2 linked regions of the Cricetulus griseus genome follow. The protein of the gene in region 1 purifies or fractionates together with the protein of each later gene. This does not show direct contact. Links are inferred from orthologs where the notes say so. Each region holds a gene or a part of one and is shown in the gene's direction. Other genes may lie near its edges. The genes, in order: Abcc1 and Vdac3.

Region 1 (4,454 bases):
CTCACTAATAGAGATGGCTCTACAGATAAAGGCACTTACTGCCAGGCTTGATGACCTGAGACAGATCCCTGGAGCCCTGGTTCCAAGAGAAATAGGTCTCCCAGGCTGTCCTCTGACCTCCACAAGTAATTGCCATGCATTCCCACACACATACACACACAAATAAGTAATGTTACTATTACAACAACAACCAAACAAACAAACACTCACTCACTCATATTGAGGGGGCACCTGGACCAGTCAAAGAATCACAGAAAAATCCTGTGTCCTTCCGTCTTCCTTCACCAAGAACTTTGTGTCGGTGGGCTCTCATTTGTGTACTCAGTTGTTCTTATTTGCTGTAGCTGTTCATGTGCATGCTAACGGAGACTGAGCATCAGGCAGACACCTAAGAAGAGGAGGAGAGACTAGAGGTATTGGTGGAGTCATTGGAAAGTTTAGACTCCTGGACTTCCGCCCAGCTCTTCTGTGTCTTAAGCAGTACTGAGGCAGCATCACACAGTGGTATTATTAATTTATTCCCTCCCCTGACTCCCCCCCCCCACCTTTAGCAGGACTGCTTTGTTCAAAAGCTGGGCTCGGTCATTCACCATGTAAATGATCTTTGACAAGTTGCTTTTGTTTTCTGTTTGGTCTCCAACCTGAAAAACAGGAAGAATAATACTATGTACTTCATGGGTTGATATGTGAGTTTTAGGTTAATGTTTGTATATTGTTAAGCATGGAGCCTTGAGTAGCTCTCTAACCATGAGTGTTAAGTAGTCTTATGTCTCTAGGCTTCAGTGTCCTTGCCTCTATGATGAACATCAGCAGCTGGGTTCTTGCCAGCCCTACTTCATGGGGTGGTTCGGAGCCTGTTTTATTCATGCCTCTGCCTCGGGTACCTAACATTCTCTGGCTTGTGGTTGATCCTCATAAATTATGTTTATCTTACTCACTTACCTTTATTGTTATTTTTTTAAAATTAAAGTATTTTCGAGGGGCTGGAGTGGCATAGCTCTTTGGGTAGAGTGCTTGCCTAGCACGGAGGAAGTCCTGGGTTCTATTCTCAGCACCACATTAACCCAGTTGTTTAGGTTATCGAGAAGTGGAGGCATGGCATGGCCCATTGTAGTGGTCATTGTAGAGATCCACTTGGGAGTGGATCTCTGAATTTTAGGCTACCCTAATCTACAAATCGAGTTCCAGGACAGTCAGGGGCTACACAGAGAAACCCTGTATCAAAAAAATGGTGGCAGGAGGATCAGGAGTTCAAGATCATCTTCCACTACATAGTGCATTAGAGGCCAGACTTGGTTATATGAGACCCTGTCCCAAATCTCCCAAATCCAAACCAAGAAACCACAAGGAAAGGACTTATTTCCTGGCTGCACTCTAGAGTGGGAGAAAGGGCTGGAGAGATGGCTCAGAGGTTAAGAGCACTGAGTGCTCTTTCAGAGGTCCTGAGTTCAATTCCCAGCAACCACATGATGGCTCACAACCATCTGTTATGAAATCTGGTGCCCTCTTCCAGCATGCAGGAATACATGCTGGCAGAGCATTGAATACATAATAAATAAATTCTTAAAAAAAAAAAAAAAGGGGGGAGTGGGAGGAATTCCCAGGGTGCTTTGCAGACCATGGGAGGAGGGGTGGCAAACAGGCGTTTAGGATGGAGATCTCAGTGTATAGGATGGAATGTTAAGGTTCCTGATTCGAACGAACTCCCCTTGTACTCGTTGAGTGGCCCTGAGCGAGTTTCCTCACCGGTGAGCCTCAGTTTCCTCATCTGTTCCCCTCATCTGTTCCCTTTTCTTTCTTGGGAGCTCACATCCCTACCCCCGCCAGTTGATTCTGAAGGGAAAAAAGCTCCAAATCCCGCAGCACGGGAAAGGCTGTACAGTTAGGATCGCCTGGGACGAAGCCAGGGAGTGGAGGGCCCAGCGCCGGGTTCCTCGCGGCCGCGTCGGCGTTAGGAACCGGCAGGAGGTGGGAGCTGCAGACGAGGCCTCCACGCCCAGCCCGGGGCACCAAGGAGCCTGCCTGGCTTGCTCCCACGCGCCGGGCGGGGTGGCGCGGGGCGGGGCGGGTGGGGCGGGGCTGCATCCCGGTGACGCGGGCCAACCGCGCGGCGCTGCGGCTTCTCGCTCAGCCGGTCACCCGCATGGCGCTACGCAGGTTTTGCAGCTCTGATGGCTCCGACCCGCTTTGGGTAGGTGGTGGGCCGCGGGGTGGTCGGGGAGGTCTAGGGGTCGCGGGGAACGCTGGGACGTGCGGGTCCAGCCGCTCCCCAGCCCGAGCCCCGCTCTGCAGACGCGGGGACCCGCCATCCGGGCCCGGGCGCAGCCGCCGCGGCCAGACTCTGGGGACCCGGTTCCGGGATTGCTGGGCGTGCGCGGGGAGCGGCCTCTCTGCTTTGGGGTTCTGCTGGAGGCATTAAGTGGGGGTTTTTCCGTCCCCAGTAGGGGTAAGGATCCCCCATTCACAGCACACACCCCGTCTCTGAGCACCGGGCAGGAGCTCTACAAAGTGACTTCACTCCCCTTGTTTTGGGGGTCCCCCACTGTTTGTTTACCTCCCTGTTACGTTGGCATCAGGTTTTTCTCATCCTTTCCTTCCTTTCTGCCTAAATGCTACCAGGAAAGTTTGAGGAAACAGGAAGGATAAGGCAAGAGAAGGGTAGGAAGCCGTTCTGCCCCCCCCCCCTCTGTGGGTTTGGGGTGCAGTGGAGATGCCCGGGACCCTGGTACCCAGGGGAGTGCCTTCCACCCTGTATGGTGCTGAGGCTCTGCTCTGGGGCTGTTCCGGAGACTTCTGGCCTTCTCCAGGTAGCTTTCTTCTGAAATAACCCTAGGCTGGTTTCCCTGGCTGACTGCGCTAATAATCCCCAGTGCTTGTGGATTTCGTGTCCCTGTAATGCGATTTGCCCATTGTTCCAGAACACTCCTGTATCGTGCTGTCCTGATTATTTAGTGAATACAATAGACAGTCTGGACACAAAGAGTTTTTTTGTTTTGTTTTGTTTTTTTGAGAAACAGGAAAAACTCTCGTTTCTTAGTTGCTGATTAGTGCCCACAAGTTCCTTCTTGTACTGTTTTGGGATACCTCCCTCATAATAGTGACAACCTATGAAGGCCCATTGGCAGACTTCAGTCTTTTGGGTGAGGAAGGGTGCCATTTTTGGTTGAGAAACTTACCACACTTGGATATGACTCCCATTTTAAAGCCACAAGGCTGGAGGTTTCTCCAGGGCTGAAAACAGTGCTAGCGATTAGCATTTTGGAGTCTGCAAGGGCTTGGTGCCTGTTTGCCACAGAGGAACACCTGTGTGTTCTCTACCTTGTGCTTTGTGTGGAGAGAACAGAATTATTCTTCAAGGATCTAGTGGGATCTGGCTCAGTGTTAAATAGTTGATGGTGTATTTCCTGGATTATTTTCTTTTGTGGTGGGCGAAAGTAAGTTGATTAGACATTGGATTCTGTACCAGTTTATTTTTATATATATATCCATCCATATGTATACATACATACTGTACTCTGTGTGTGTGTGTGTGTGTGTGTGTGTGTGTGTGTGTGTGTGTGTGTGTGTGTAGAACTGGGGCATGCATACCATGGCACACATATGGAAGTCAGAAATCTGAGGGAGTTGGTTCTTTCCTTCCAGCATGTGTGGTCTGAGGATTGAACTCAGGTCATTAGGCAGCCAGCATCTTGCCAACCCAAACCAGGATGTATTTTATTGCCGGGAAGTGATGGGAAGTGATGATTAAAAAGTGTTTGGGGTGTTCTCTATCTTCTAATCAGCCTAGAAACCTACCCAAGAAACCCAGTTTTGTGTTCTCTCTTTCTAGGGACTTCTTGCCATAGAAAATTAAGAAGGAAGAACTGTGCTTGGCAATAATGGTGGCTGACCTTCACCTTAGGCAGGGACCCATCCTCCCTCAATTTTCATCAATGCCCCTCCTCCCACTGGTCTAGGCTTGCTGGATGCTTCTGTTTCTGGAGTCCTGGAACCAGAATGGGTGAGAGAGCAGTTGGCAAGCAAGCACTTCCCTATAGCTGGAGAATCCAAACACAACACAGAGTAGGTCGGTTAGACTGTTATGGAGGCACATACCTACAGTTGCAGCACTTGGGAAGCTGAGGCCAAAGGATGAAGAGTTTCAGAGAGGCTTGGGCTAGAGTGAGACAGTGCCTCAAAGGACAGCAAACTGAAGCCAGTGGCTTCTGCCTTCCAAAGCTAAGTGTTGCAGTCAGCACAGACTACCTACTGATAGGCAGGTAGCTGCATCCCCACCCTGCGATTGGACCTAGGGCCTCACACAGCACTGTGTTAACATCCCCTGCCCTGCTAGACTTTATCATCTTGAGTAAGCTGTCATCACTGCTGACTGTGCCTCAGTTTAGCTGTACAATAGGGGTATGGGGAAAGCTTCCCAGCCTTCTAGGGCTATGGAGTGAGTGGTCTAGACTGTG
Region 2 (3,814 bases), about 14 Mb from region 1:
GTATGTATGTATGTATGTATGTATGTCCATATGTATATATGTATATGTAGGCAGGCACTCATTTATAAATTATAAATAAGGCAATAGGTTGAGGGTATAGGTCAGTGAGAGATATTGGCAGAGCCTTGGGTTCCATTCCCAGCACCCCTTTCCCACCACCACCTCTTCACCCCTACCTTCACACCCACTGTGTACCTTCATCTCCCAGTCACAATGTACTAAACTGCTGCCTATAAAAAGAGAGTATTAGAGGTAGTGTTTATAGATTTTTAAGCACCTCTAAATTTACTGTTTGACAAATATCAGAGAATTGATAGTCATCTTAGGCCATGAAAGTGAAATTCTTCAAAATTTTTTAATAAAGGCAATTATTTCTGGCAGAGATTTTTCTTTTAAAGTTAAGAATTTAATATGACCATTAAAAAAGAACGTATGGACTAATAAATATCAGTAATAAAGAAGGAATAATGGAAAATTCTAAACCTGGCTAGAAACAAAAAGAGAGAAGGAGGTAAATTGTTGAATGGTAGGGTTGTGGTAAAAAGTAAATTGTATTAGTTTCTGATACATTGAACACTGTTTTCTGAAACAAATGGTTTCTATTTGGTGAGGTCATCTTAAAATAATTATGTTCTCTTTTTTTACCAGGAATTTTCTACTTCAGGTCATGCTTATACTGATACAGGGAAAGCATCAGGCAACCTAGAGACCAAGTATAAGGTCTGTGACTATGGACTCACCTTCACCCAAAAGTGGAATACAGACAATACTCTTGGGACAGAAGTCTCTTGGGAGAATAAGGTAAGAACAAGCAGTTTACGATATTTGTAGGTTTAATATCTCTTTCACATCAAATAAGGAGCATTACTGGGGCTGGAGACATGGCTTAGCTGTTAAGAGCATCTACTGCTCTTACAGAGGACCTGAGTTCAGTTCCCAGAACCTTGTCAGGTGGCTCATAGCCATCTGTAACTCCAGCTCCAGGGGATCTAATAACTCTGGCCCCACAAGCAGCTGCACTTGTCTGTATGTACTCCCACATACACACACACAAATACACATGATTAAAAATAATCAAATAAATCTTTAAAAAATTGGACAAACTCCAAATATAATTTGAGTGGAATTTTTACAATGCCGCCTGCCATATTTTCCCTTTATTTATTTTCTTGGCTTGTCTTAACATTTCTAGAAATCTGCACTGCATCTTTGTTCTGATTAGTTAATTGTGTCACAGAGTCAATCCTCTCCTGTGTAGTACAGATCCTCTTTGTAATCTTTGCAAATTTAGAATCACAGAAATGTTTCTAAGTTTTTAAATGTTTTTAAGGAGAAAACCAAGTAGCTGATTTTTGTTAGATATGCATTGTTTACAGGGCACTACATTTTCTTTCGGAGAATAGATATTATGTAGTATAGGCCAGTCTCAAACTTTCTTTATAGCTGAAGTTGACCTTGAACTCCTGATTTTCCTGCCTGTGCAGGAATTATAAGAGTGTGCCACCGTGCCCACCTGAGTTTTCAAGGTACATCTATGTATATTGGCCCATAGTAAGGGGTACAGCTGATGAAATTTGTTTTTGTTAAATGTCAGGTTATCTTATAGTTATTTCAAGAGAATTAGCAGGATTATTTTGTTACATTGGAGTAATTACTTTTTGACAATTTATGTTATTTAATGTATTAGGATTTGTCCTATACATTTTAACCTTTTAAATTTTGTTTTTGTTTGTTGTTATTTTGAGACAGGGTTTCTCTGCATAGTCCTGGCTGTTCTGGAACTCAGTCTATAGACCAGGGGGCCTCAAACTCACAGAGATCCACCTGCCTCTGCCTTCCAAGTGCTGGGATTAAGGGCTTGCATCACCACATCTGGCTCCTTTTTAAAATTTTTGAGATGGTGGCCTTATTATGTCACTGAGGCTGATTGCAAACTTCTGTGTTTAAGGTTTTCTACCTCAGCCTCCTGAGTAGCTTTGATTACAAGGACATGCTGCCACCATAGCCAGTTTAATTTATATTTTGATAAGAGAGCCAGGAGGAAGGGAGGGCTTGAGAGGAGGGAGTTAGGGGGATCAAGAAAGATGGGAGAGTGGTAGTGCATGCCTTAATCCCAGCACTGTGAGTGGGGAGGCACAAGTGGATCTCTGAGTCCAAGGCTAACCTGGTCTCTATAGAAGAAGCTCCAGGACAGCCAGGGCTACACGGAGGAACTCTGTCTTGGAAAAAAGAAAGAAAAGATGGGGGAGGTTATTTATTATATAATTGACTCTTTGGCTTTCTTTAATGATTCATAATTAAAGAGAAAATAGGAAGAAGTTTTAGAATTGGCTTTTTTGACTTGAAGAATAGAAAATTAATTATTAATTGACAAATTTTTGTTTTACAGTTGGCGGATGGGTTGAAACTGACTCTTGATACCATATTTGTACCAAACACAGGGTAATTATCCAAACCCATTTTTTATCTGATTTCTTCTCGGAGGCCTAGAACTTTAACATTGGAAATGTAAAATGGGAGCTGTAGGGGCAGAAAGAAACTGAGAACTTGTTTTAGCAATGTTAGAATACTTGTATGTCTTTAAAGAAGGAACTCCTCAGGCAGCAGCACATTGCCAGTAAAAATGTTTAAACAGGTACAGCTAGTTTAGGAATTAGAAAGGCTGAGACCATAGTTTATCTATTCTAAAGACTAATGGGCATGGCAAGAGTGTAATCCACTGATTGTGAGGGACCAGGGTGAGTGGTTGTGCTGCTGTCTTAATTTCTGAGCCCTGAAAGTCCTCTAGGCTTAGTCTATTTTCCCATTGTGTCATTTAACTGCCCAACCTAGTTTCTGCTATCTGAAGGCAGAGATGCTAGATAAATGCAAAGAGGAATTTGTTCTTAGACACAACAATGAGACTGTCCTTCCTGTCTTATGCTTTTTAGAACACATATTGTCTTAAAAGCCATGTGAAGTCTATTTGGAACTAATAGACAAAGGTTATTCAGAACTAATTTTGAATAGTCAGCATTGCTATTGAAAGTATATTTCTGCTGGGTGTGTTGGTGCACACTTTTAATCCCAGCATTCTGGAGACAGGCAGGTGGATCTCCACAAGTTCCAGGCTAACCAGGGCTACTTACTGAGACCTTGTCTAAAACAAACAACAAAATGTGTATTTCTACTAATAATTTAGTAATGTGTTTTGATGTTAGTTTTGTAGCACTTGAAAACATTTAAAGATATTTCTGTGTATATTTATACATATTTATATATCTTCAGATTATTAGTTTGGCAGTGCAATATTTTACTAGTTATGGACTTTATATTTTTGACAAAATTATATATGTCTGTGAGGGAATATGTAGTGTTTGAATATGTGTATACATTATATAATCATATAGGGTAAGTGTGTCTATCTCATCAAACCTCTATCATTTTTTTTTTTAGTTGAAAGCAAATTTAAAACCCTTGCATTGTTTTTGAAATATATAGGACTTTATATGTAGTGACCCTGATGTGCAACAGAACTTCAAAACAATTTTCCTATCTGTTAACTATCTGATGATTTTTTTCATGCCTTTATGAGATGAATCATAAAATACTCTTATTTCAACTAATGGTGAAGAATATAATGACATATATGCTTCTTTATATGTGTGTGTGTGTGTGTGTGTGTGTGTGTGTGTGTGTGTGTGTGTGTATATATATATATATATATATATATATATATATATTTATTCTTTGTGTAGACCTGACCTGGCTCTCCTGGAACTCACAGAGATATACCTGCCTCTATCTCCCAGGTGCCAGTATTAAAGGCGTGTAC

Evidence for each region.
Region 2: the proteins of Abcc1 (region 1) and Vdac3 fractionate together in Homo sapiens (co-fractionation; 3 studies listed by BioGRID). This does not show direct contact. The link is inferred for Cricetulus griseus from reciprocal best matches to the Homo sapiens genes ABCC1 and VDAC3.

The regions. Positions count from the first base shown.
Region 1 is NW_023276807.1:75,557,465-75,561,918, forward strand, and holds the start of Abcc1 (multidrug resistance-associated protein 1), read left to right. Parts: upstream 1-1,607; 5' UTR 1,608-1,619; coding exon 1,620-1,748; intron 1,749-2,078; exon of another isoform or gene 2,079-2,143; coding exon of another isoform or gene 2,144-2,191; intron 2,192-4,454.
Region 2 is NW_023276807.1:61,097,541-61,101,354, forward strand, and holds part of Vdac3 (voltage-dependent anion-selective channel protein 3), read left to right. Parts: intron 1-648; coding exon 649-801; intron 802-2,389; coding exon 2,390-2,442; intron 2,443-3,814. UniProt on the Homo sapiens protein: Non-selective voltage-gated ion channel that mediates the transport of anions and cations through the mitochondrion outer membrane and plasma membrane.